Linked DNA regions of Saccharomyces cerevisiae S288C. Each later gene encodes a partner of the first gene's protein in a complex. Each region holds a gene or a part of one and is shown in the gene's direction. Other genes may lie near its edges.

What was found.
Region 2: TFB5 (region 1) and RAD3 share a complex: the UniProt entries of both Saccharomyces cerevisiae proteins name them as parts of the 7-subunit TFIIH core complex.
Region 3: TFB5 (region 1) and TFB4 share a complex: the UniProt entries of both Saccharomyces cerevisiae proteins name them as parts of the 7-subunit TFIIH core complex.

The regions. Positions count from the first base shown.
Region 1 is NC_001136.10:602,955-605,600, reverse strand, and holds TFB5 (TFIIH complex subunit TFB5), read left to right. Parts: upstream 1-1,789; coding exon 1,790-2,008; downstream 2,009-2,646. Other genes in the region: VPS41 (Vps41p), read right to left, coding at 1-1,593; PET100 (Pet100p), read right to left, coding at 2,202-2,537. UniProt on the Saccharomyces cerevisiae protein: Component of the general transcription and DNA repair factor IIH (TFIIH) core complex, which is involved in general and transcription-coupled nucleotide excision repair (NER) of damaged DNA and, when complexed to TFIIK, in RNA transcription by RNA polymerase II.
Region 2 is NC_001137.3:525,219-530,088, forward strand, and holds RAD3 (TFIIH/NER complex ATP-dependent 5'-3' DNA helicase subunit RAD3), read left to right. Parts: upstream 1-1,863; coding exon 1,864-4,200; downstream 4,201-4,870. Other genes in the region: RPH1 (Rph1p), read left to right, coding at 1-541; adenylate kinase ADK2, read left to right, coding at 756-1,433; ATP-dependent RNA helicase BRR2, read right to left, coding at 4,312-4,870. UniProt on the Saccharomyces cerevisiae protein: ATP-dependent 5'-3' DNA helicase.
Region 3 is NC_001148.4:669,252-672,812, forward strand, and holds TFB4 (TFIIH/NER complex subunit TFB4), read left to right. Parts: upstream 1-1,874; coding exon 1,875-2,891; downstream 2,892-3,561. Other genes in the region: exocyst subunit SEC8, read left to right, coding at 1-1,622; BRR1 (Brr1p), read left to right, coding at 3,220-3,561. UniProt on the Saccharomyces cerevisiae protein: Component of the general transcription and DNA repair factor IIH (TFIIH) core complex, which is involved in general and transcription-coupled nucleotide excision repair (NER) of damaged DNA and, when complexed to TFIIK, in RNA transcription by RNA polymerase II.

The DNA.
Region 1 (2,646 bases):
CTCTTCTGATCCAATTACATATTTACCGATTTTCCAAGCTTTATAATATTGCTTTCTTTCCATAAACCAATCGAAATGATCCTTCAATGATAACTCTTGAACCCTGATGGCATCGTTGGAACTTATCAAATAGTATTCTGGTGTTGTTTTATCTATATGTTTACCGAGGTGATAATCATTTATAGACAATTTTTCATAGTTTTTCATGATAACTTCATCATTATAGATTTCATCACCATTAAAAAGATCAACAATTTTTAATTCTGGAGCATTCCCTTTGGCTAATAAGTTTTCTGGCCGCTTGCTAAAATTCTTCCCCTCCTTCATATCTTCATCTATGGTTGCTTCCTCTTCAATATCTATATCAAAACCTAGGCATAATAACTGATCATCCTTAAACGATGCAAGCCCTGTAATCAACATTGACACAGTAAAATGGCATTCTAATTCAACTTTCTTATCAGGTGTCCCTCTAAAACTCGATGCAGCACTAGACAAGAGAGATCCGATGTTTGTCGTAGGGTTAAAATGACTCATATTATTACTTTGAGAATTAGAGTCACCGGATTTGATCGAATTTGAATCCTTGGTAAAGGAAACTTTAAATAGCCAAATATTAGATCCCCATCCGATAACGACACGATCACTTTCTAAAAAATGAACATGGGGTCTAAATAGATCTGGCCTTACATCCTGTACGTTAAAAATTCTGGAGGGGAATGGAATATTCAAAAGCTGTGATCTTGTAGGAACATCGCAAAATGTTATTCCATCATCATCCATCCATAATATAAGGTCACCCATAGTATAAATTCCCATGATAGGGCCCTTCATATCAGAGGATAGGTCATCTTTTCTTGTTTTTTTCTTTTTCTTCTTGTTTAAAACGATGTCGATTCTATTTCCTAGCCAATTTCTCTGAGATAGTACAACGTCGCCAGCCATTCCACCAGAAACAAACATTCTGGATGCTTGAAAATTTGAGTGCAACGCTACAGAGTTTATAGGTCTTTTGAAATCGTATTGTGTAATGTTTTGTGGATCATCCATCGATCCGATAATCACTGTCCCGTCAATAGATCCCGTAGCAAAATATTTTCCGTCAGTGTTAATACAAAGTATCGAAGATCTATGGCATTTGATGGTTTTAATGGGTTCGAACGCGCATGTAGTTAAGTGTAGAATGCCTGAGTGTGTACCAAATGCAAAAAAAGTATCACCAAATAAACATGAAGAGATCGAGTCTCGTTGAAAAAAGTTCTTCGGGAGTTGACTAATTCGTGTGTACTTCAATAAGGGGGGCTCATCTTCGTCATCCTCATCTTCATCATCGTCATCATCATCATCATCATCATCATCACCTGTTTCTGCATCCGTCGCACTTCCTGTTATTGTACTCTCATCTGTTCGAGAAGCTACTCCATTTTCCGCTTGTGATATGCAACTAACACTTTTTGTTGGTGAAGTTACATTAACGTCTTCCCTCTTATTATCAACATTATTCTCGTCAGAGATGGAATTACTCTCATCAATTGTTCGTTCGCCTGATTGTTGATCCAAAACAGAATCATTCTGATGATTATCTGTAGTCATTAATGTCTAATAGTAGGTATATACTCTTCGTTAAAATGCTTTTTTATTTTGCATATATATTTTACAACAGTCTCAATAGCCCTTTTAATTTTTCTTTTGTATCGTATTATTGAAAAAAGACGAGCAAACTGCAGTAAGATAGAAGTGTACTCCCAATAGAGACAAAGCCAAGATACTTTTGTAAAAGAACGAAAAAATGGCTAGAGCAAGAAAGGGTGCACTGGTTCAATGTGATCCATCCATCAAGGCGCTCATATTACAAATTGACGCCAAGATGAGTGATATAGTACTAGAGGAGTTGGATGACACCCATCTTTTAGTAAATCCCTCGAAAGTCGAATTTGTTAAGCATGAGCTAAATAGGCTATTATCTAAGAATATATATAATCCTATGGATGAAGAAGAAAATCAGTAATTATTGCTCATTCAGCTTTTTCAATACTATTTGAATAGAGCATGACCTGCATAACCAGGTCAGACATGAATATAGAGGGGAAGTGATGATCTAGTGGAAATACGACTATACAGGTATGTACATGTTAGAATAATAAATATAAGGAAGAAAAAGTGGTCAGGTGCAAGTATACATCTTTAACCGTTTTCTTTTCTCATCCTTTTTTGAGAGCCAAATCCCGTTTAATTTTTTCTTTTTCCTCCTCAAGGTCTAAACCAAACTCCTCTTGTATCTTTTTCTCCAACCTAAGCCTTTTCTCTAAACGTTCTTTTTTCATCCTTGCCAGTTCAGCTTTAATCTCATAAGGCTCTTTTGGTATTTGGTTCAACGTTGCAGGATCTGGCCAAAACCCTGGAACATTTAATTTTTTATCAGTATCTGTACCAATATAGTACATTACAGCAACAGGTGCTAGCAAACAAAATGAAAATCTAAAGATCTCCAGTTGCGCCCTTGTATATTTAAACTTGAAGTTATTAAATAGACCCATTTTGTACTTGTCGAAGTGATTACTTTTGTTTGTCAGCCCTTATTAAATTGTTATAGAACAGAAAATATCAGCAAGATGCGCTGATATATTGGAATTATACGGGAAAAAA
Region 2 (4,870 bases), on another chromosome or scaffold:
CTCTACTTCTGTGCTCGGGCCACTGAGTGACACAAACGACATAAAAACACCGCACCCTGAAAGACCAAATCACAAGACAGCAAATAGAATACTCAAAAAGGAATCTCCTGTCGAGACATCAAAATCAAATCTTATACTTTCAAAGGTTGCATCCACTCGCCAAGAGGATTCTTTTACAAGCCGAAATGACGATCTGGACAAAGAACAAGGCTCTTCTCCATTAAACTCTAAGTTTGCGCCCGAAGAAATCGTGTTATCAGGTAAGAACAAGATTTATATTTGTAAGGAATGCCAAAGAAAGTTCTCTTCTGGTCACCATCTTACAAGACACAAAAAATCCGTCCACTCTGGTGAGAAACCTCATTCTTGTCCCAAATGTGGCAAAAGATTTAAAAGGAGAGATCACGTTCTGCAGCACTTGAATAAGAAAATACCGTGTATTTCAAACGAAACAACAGTAGATGCTCCAATAATGAACCCTACAGTGCAACCGCAGGACGGGAAAGCGGCCATTAATCAACAGAGTACACCTTTAAACTGACTCACGATTGCCAGTTGTTTACCGAGATCTCTCATTTTGAAGGCTCTTAAAATGTGCTCGGTCGGCCGGGAATTCGCGAAAACCCACATTCACTAATAAATACCATTACAATAACCATCATTATATAGATACACATGTGTAGAAAAGGATAATATACGTATATATATTTGTTTGTAAATCTTTAAATTTTCAGGAACAGGGTTAGCAAGCATCAATGAAAGCAGACGCGAAACAAATAACACATCTACTCAAACCTCTTCGACTTTTATTATTGGGGGCTCCAGGGTCAGGTAAAGGGACACAGACTTCGAGATTACTAAAGCAAATTCCACAATTATCTTCAATTTCGTCAGGCGACATTTTACGTCAGGAAATAAAATCTGAATCTACCCTAGGCCGAGAGGCTACTACCTACATTGCTCAAGGCAAGTTATTACCGGATGATCTCATAACGCGTCTGATAACTTTTCGTCTTTCGGCATTGGGTTGGTTAAAACCATCTGCCATGTGGTTGCTCGATGGATTTCCTCGAACTACTGCGCAAGCTTCTGCCTTAGACGAGCTGCTGAAACAGCATGACGCCAGCTTGAATCTAGTGGTAGAGCTAGATGTACCCGAATCCACCATATTAGAAAGGATCGAGAACAGATATGTTCACGTTCCTAGTGGGAGAGTGTATAACTTACAATATAATCCTCCCAAAGTGCCAGGATTAGACGATATCACCGGAGAACCATTGACCAAGAGGCTTGATGACACAGCGGAAGTGTTTAAAAAAAGGCTAGAAGAGTACAAGAAAACAAATGAGCCTTTAAAAGATTATTACAAAAAAAGTGGGATTTTTGGTACCGTCTCTGGGGAAACATCAGATATTATCTTCCGAAATTATTGAACCTTATAACCAGCAAATTCGGCTAATAGGGTGATTTAACGCTACACTAACTGCAAGTATATGTTAACCTTCCCCGAGACTTTGAAAAACCGTGACTCTAGTTGGAAGTCAGCATCTCGTCAACCAAATGATTACAGTTCACTTTGAATATTCTGAATAGCCTTTATGATATGAGTTAATCCTATATTAATCATGGCCGACGGCATTTAAGCGATGTATATGAAATTTATGAAAAATTAAAGTAGCGTACTTTATGCTACATAGCTTTTGAAAAGAAATCTCTGGTCTGTAAATAATAAATAAATATATATATATGTATATCTTAAAGTTGACAAAGTACTGTTAGCCATTCATAGAAATACTATATTTCATCTTGGGTTGAAGGTGATAATCGGCCCGATTTGACTACACTTTAAGAAGATTGGAAACAATGAAGTTTTATATAGATGATTTACCAGTGCTTTTTCCATACCCCAAGATATATCCAGAGCAGTATAATTATATGTGCGATATTAAAAAGACTCTGGATGTAGGTGGAAATAGTATCTTGGAGATGCCTTCAGGAACAGGTAAAACGGTCTCATTACTATCCCTCACAATTGCCTACCAGATGCACTACCCAGAACATAGAAAGATCATATATTGTTCTCGTACTATGTCTGAAATTGAAAAAGCTTTAGTAGAGTTAGAGAACCTTATGGATTACAGAACTAAAGAACTAGGCTATCAAGAGGATTTTCGAGGTCTTGGCTTGACATCAAGAAAAAATTTGTGTTTGCATCCCGAAGTGAGTAAGGAACGAAAAGGTACAGTAGTCGATGAAAAGTGCCGTAGAATGACAAATGGGCAGGCGAAGAGAAAATTAGAAGAGGATCCAGAGGCAAATGTAGAATTGTGTGAATACCATGAGAATTTGTACAATATTGAAGTAGAGGATTATCTTCCAAAAGGCGTATTTTCTTTTGAAAAACTTTTGAAATACTGCGAAGAAAAAACACTTTGTCCATATTTTATTGTTCGTCGTATGATTTCTCTTTGTAACATTATTATTTATTCTTACCATTATCTATTAGATCCTAAAATTGCTGAAAGAGTTTCCAACGAGGTTTCTAAAGATAGCATTGTCATTTTTGATGAAGCGCACAATATTGATAATGTGTGTATCGAATCGCTGTCATTAGACTTGACAACGGATGCATTGAGAAGAGCCACACGAGGTGCTAATGCGTTAGATGAACGTATTTCTGAGGTCAGAAAGGTTGACTCACAGAAATTACAGGATGAATACGAAAAACTAGTTCAAGGTCTCCATTCTGCAGATATTCTTACCGACCAGGAAGAGCCATTTGTGGAAACACCTGTATTGCCCCAAGATCTTCTAACAGAAGCAATCCCGGGAAATATACGAAGAGCCGAGCATTTTGTTTCATTTTTGAAAAGATTGATAGAATATCTGAAGACCAGAATGAAAGTTCTTCACGTTATTTCAGAAACGCCAAAATCATTTCTACAGCATTTAAAACAGTTAACTTTCATAGAAAGGAAACCTCTTCGGTTTTGCTCAGAAAGGCTATCATTACTTGTAAGAACTTTAGAAGTTACAGAGGTAGAAGATTTTACTGCATTGAAAGACATAGCAACTTTTGCTACTCTTATATCAACATATGAGGAAGGGTTTTTACTAATTATTGAACCGTATGAAATCGAAAATGCTGCAGTTCCGAATCCGATTATGAGATTTACTTGCTTAGATGCATCGATTGCCATCAAACCAGTCTTTGAGAGATTTTCTTCCGTTATTATCACTTCAGGGACCATATCACCATTAGACATGTATCCAAGAATGTTAAACTTTAAAACTGTTTTACAAAAATCATATGCCATGACCTTAGCCAAAAAATCATTTCTACCAATGATTATTACCAAGGGTTCTGATCAAGTTGCAATTTCTTCAAGATTTGAAATCAGAAACGATCCTAGTATTGTTCGTAATTACGGTTCTATGCTAGTAGAGTTTGCCAAGATCACACCTGATGGAATGGTTGTTTTTTTCCCCTCATATCTATATATGGAAAGTATTGTTTCAATGTGGCAAACAATGGGTATTCTTGACGAAGTTTGGAAACATAAATTAATTTTAGTTGAGACTCCTGATGCTCAAGAAACTTCTTTAGCCTTAGAAACCTATAGAAAGGCTTGCTCAAATGGGCGTGGGGCAATTTTGCTTTCTGTTGCTAGAGGAAAGGTATCTGAAGGTATCGATTTTGATCATCAATATGGCAGAACTGTGCTGATGATAGGTATCCCGTTTCAATACACAGAATCGCGTATTTTGAAAGCTCGCCTAGAATTCATGAGGGAGAACTATCGCATCAGAGAAAACGACTTCTTATCTTTCGATGCGATGAGACATGCAGCTCAATGTCTGGGGAGAGTACTGAGAGGGAAGGACGACTATGGTGTAATGGTACTAGCAGACCGTAGGTTTTCAAGAAAAAGAAGCCAGTTACCAAAATGGATTGCTCAAGGTTTGTCTGACGCCGATTTGAACCTTTCGACTGACATGGCCATATCCAATACCAAACAATTCTTGAGAACAATGGCACAACCCACAGACCCTAAAGACCAAGAGGGTGTATCTGTTTGGAGTTATGAAGATTTAATAAAGCACCAGAATAGCAGAAAAGATCAAGGTGGATTTATTGAAAACGAAAACAAAGAAGGAGAACAGGATGAAGATGAAGATGAAGATATAGAAATGCAGTGATGCAATGATACGCTTTTGCTATAAACTGTATATATCACAATTAGATTAAATAGCCGCAAGAGAATGTTATATATTGAAATCCATTCGATTATCCAGGACTAAACAATGATTTTATTTCACATTTATTTCAAAGGACAACTCTTTATCTGCGTCAAGATATGAATCACAGACACACCAAATTGTTAAGTTATGTTTACCAGATGTCGGAGTGTCAAATTCCAATTCATATTGCTGAGTCTCTTTATTTAAAGTAACTTTCTTGATCGCATAAAGCTCTTTTTTAGATACTTCACCTAAAACCAACCACCAACTTTCTAGCTTATCAAACGGATACTTTTCAGATGTTACTTGTAAGTTCTCAGGTTCAACATCTCTTGTCAATTGAATGGTAATTTTCTGTTTTACACCTGAAATTAACGAATCAGAATTATTCAACGAATAAGTAAGTTCAACGTTGGGGTAATTGTTAACAAACGCGGCGACCTGCGCAAGCTGTGAATCAGTAAGCGTTAAAATTTCATCCCTCTCTTCATCCTCAAGGGCCATTATATCATAGACCGTCTCGACGTTAATTTCTTTACATTTTTCCAAAATTTTGTTGTTGAAGTGTGGAATCTGTCTCAACGGATTATCAACGTCCCATACACCCTGAATCAACATCTGCGCCAAA
Region 3 (3,561 bases), on another chromosome or scaffold:
ACATGGATTTAGACTCTATTTATGTAAAAGATGAATCCTTCGAACAAGATGAGCCTCTAGTCCCTCCTTCTGTTTTCAACATGAAGGTAATTTTAGATCCGTTTTTGCTGTTTACGCAATCGACATCTACAATTGTTCCCAGTGTCTTAACACAAAATACTATTTCATCCCTAACCTTTTTCGATGATTATATGAATAAAAGTTTTCTCCCAAAGATTCAGATGACTATGGATTATTTATTCACGGTTGAAGTAGAATCCAATAATCCGTACGCCTTAGAGCTATCCGATGAAAATCATAACATTTTTAAAACAGCATTAGATTTTCAAAGGTTATTTTACAATTTATTGAATGTTTTCAACACAGCAAACACATTTAGAGAAAAAATATCGTACTGCATTCTAGATCTTTTGAATCATTTTTATAATTACTACTTGGGGCTATTTAATTCCTTGATTGGTACTTCTGATAGACATTTAACTAGGAAAATAATTACGGCATGGTTGCAGAATGGTATTTTGATGGATCAAGAACAAAAAATTCTGAATGGGGATGAGACACTCTTTCATGAAGAATCCATAGAGTTATTTAAGGAAATACCTCATTTCTATCAAGCGGGTAAAGGTTTGAGCAAATCTGATTTATTCAATAACTTGACATTGGACACAATTCTGCAGTTTTCGGCAAGCGTGTTATGGATATTAAACTGGCTGCCAGGCTTAAAAAAGGCTATCAATATTGATGAAGTAAGCCAAGAACCCATGTTAGATGCTGATAGATTAAGGAGCAGCTGGACATTTTCTGAATCAATGGATTTAAACTATTCGAACCCTAGTTCCAGCCCAAATTCATTAGGAAATCTAAAAATTTTATTGGATGATAAAGCCTCCAAAAAATTTGATGAGACTATCGACGGATTCAAAACCTTGAAATTCAAACTAATCACTATACTGAGGTTCAACATTAGGGCCTTGTGTATATACGACATCGGGTCTTTTTTTCAAAACACCAAAATTTGGAATATGGATGTGGGTAGTATTGAATTAGATCAAAATATAGCTTCTCTAATTTCCGAATTAAGAAGGACTGAAAGCAAATTGAAACAACAGTTACCAGAAAAGGAAAAAAACTCCATATTTATTGGTCTTGATATAGTCAACAACTACGCCTTGATTAAGGGTGCCAAATCCATAAAAGTTTTGAACCATAACGGGATAAAGAAAATGTTGAGAAATGTAAATGTCTTACAACATGCCTATAGAAATCTTTCTTCTGAACCATCAAAAATTAATATGAACGTCACAATGAATTTTTACTCTTTATGCGGCTCCAGTGAAGCTGAACTATTTGAATATATAAAAGACAATGAATTACCGCATTGTTCTGTCGAAGATTTGAAAACCATATTGAGGCTGCAGTTTAGCGAGGAAATGCATCGTCAATTGAAGAGACAAAGCACTAGCTCAACTAAGGGTTCCATAAAACCTTCCAATAAGAGGTACACTGAAGCTTTGGAGAAACTAAGTAACCTCGAAAAAGAGCAGTCGAAAGAAGGAGCCCGCACCAAGATTGGAAAACTTAAAAGCAAATTGAATGCTGTCCATACTGCAAACGAAAAATGACATTTTTAGTTTGTGTAAAATTAATTTGATAAATAAATGAATGAAAATGATCAATAATAAGCGAATAACTATATTTTTAATTACCTTATTTTTACAATATTTTTCACTTGCACTTTTATTTTATTTTCAGCGCGCAGCTCGTCTTGTTCTGTTGAAATTCAAAGATACCTGAAGGAACATTACAACATCAATCAACACTTGAGTAGAAATATACACGATCCAATAAAATATACTGAAGCGAAGCAATCAGAAATGGATGCAATATCTGATCCAACGTTTAAGCATGCTAGATCAAGAAAACAGGTTACTGAAGAATCACCATCTTTGCTTACCGTTATTATAGAAATTGCACCAAAGTTATGGACAACTTTTGATGAGGAAGGAAATGAGAAAGGAAGTATAATAAAGGTTTTAGAGGCATTGATAGTATTTCTCAATGCTCACTTAGCGTTCAATAGCGCCAACAAAGTAGCAGTCATTGCTGCATACTCTCAGGGAATCAAATATTTATACCCAGAGAGCACATCTGCTCTAAAAGCCTCTGAATCTGAAAATAAAACCCGTAGTGATCTTAAGATTATTAACTCAGATATGTATAGACGTTTTAGAAACGTTGATGAGACGCTAGTGGAAGAAATATATAAACTATTTGAGTTAGAAAAGAAACAAATCGAACAAAATAGTCAAAGGAGCACGCTAGCAGGTGCCATGTCAGCTGGGCTGACTTATGTAAACAGAATATCAAAAGAGTCAGTAACTACCTCATTAAAATCAAGGCTACTTGTTCTTACGTGCGGGAGTGGCAGTAGTAAAGATGAAATTTTCCAATACATCCCTATAATGAACTGTATTTTTTCCGCAACAAAAATGAAATGTCCCATTGATGTCGTAAAGATTGGTGGTTCTAAGGAAAGCACGTTTTTACAGCAAACGACGGATGCCACAAATGGCGTTTATTTACATGTTGAATCTACAGAAGGGCTAATTCAATATTTAGCAACTGCAATGTTTATTGATCCGTCGTTAAGACCTATAATTGTTAAGCCAAACCATGGATCTGTAGATTTTAGGACATCATGCTATTTAACAGGGAGAGTTGTTGCCGTTGGATTCATCTGTTCAGTTTGCCTATGTGTCTTATCAATCATACCGCCCGGAAATAAATGTCCTGCTTGTGATTCTCAATTTGATGAGCACGTAATTGCCAAGTTGAAGAGGAAACCAGTTGTTCCAAGGTTGAAAGCCAAAAAGAAGGTGACGAAACCATGAACGAAAGGAATGAACATTATCCGTTTCAAGCAGGTAACCTTCGTCACAATGCATCGTAATAATACATAAAAAAAAATTAGCTTTAAGCACATGTATATTGGACATTCCACAGAAAAAAAAAAGCTTTTGATGTGATTAGCTTAAGACGTTGTGTCATCTTTGAACTGTTTTGACTTCAATCATATCGAATTTGATAATATAACTATCTATGTACTGTCTGGGTGCATCGCTGTTGTTGCTTCGGTAGATTTATTAGTTCGCTTTGGATAATGTATCATACAATAACATTGCCAACATCCATCATAACAGAAACATTAGGTGATAAACAATGAAAAGAGGAGAAAGCCAGGCGCCTGATGCCATCTTTGGTCAATCTCGTGCATTTGCACTATCTGATTCTTCAGTGAATCCTGATGTCATTGAATATCTTAAAAGTGTTAGGCAAGAAGCACTAAGAACCAACGCCATATCGATTAAGAATCATATGAATCTGCAAAAGAGGACGCGTCACAAATCAAGCATGTACGATGATGAGGATGAGGGGGCCCTTAAAAGGCACGCCATCTCGCCATCCTTGATTAGGCTTCAAAGGAATGTAGAAATATGGGTAAGGTGGTTTAACTCTGTGAAGGCGACGGTGTTGACTAATGCCTACGAGTTTACCGGTTAT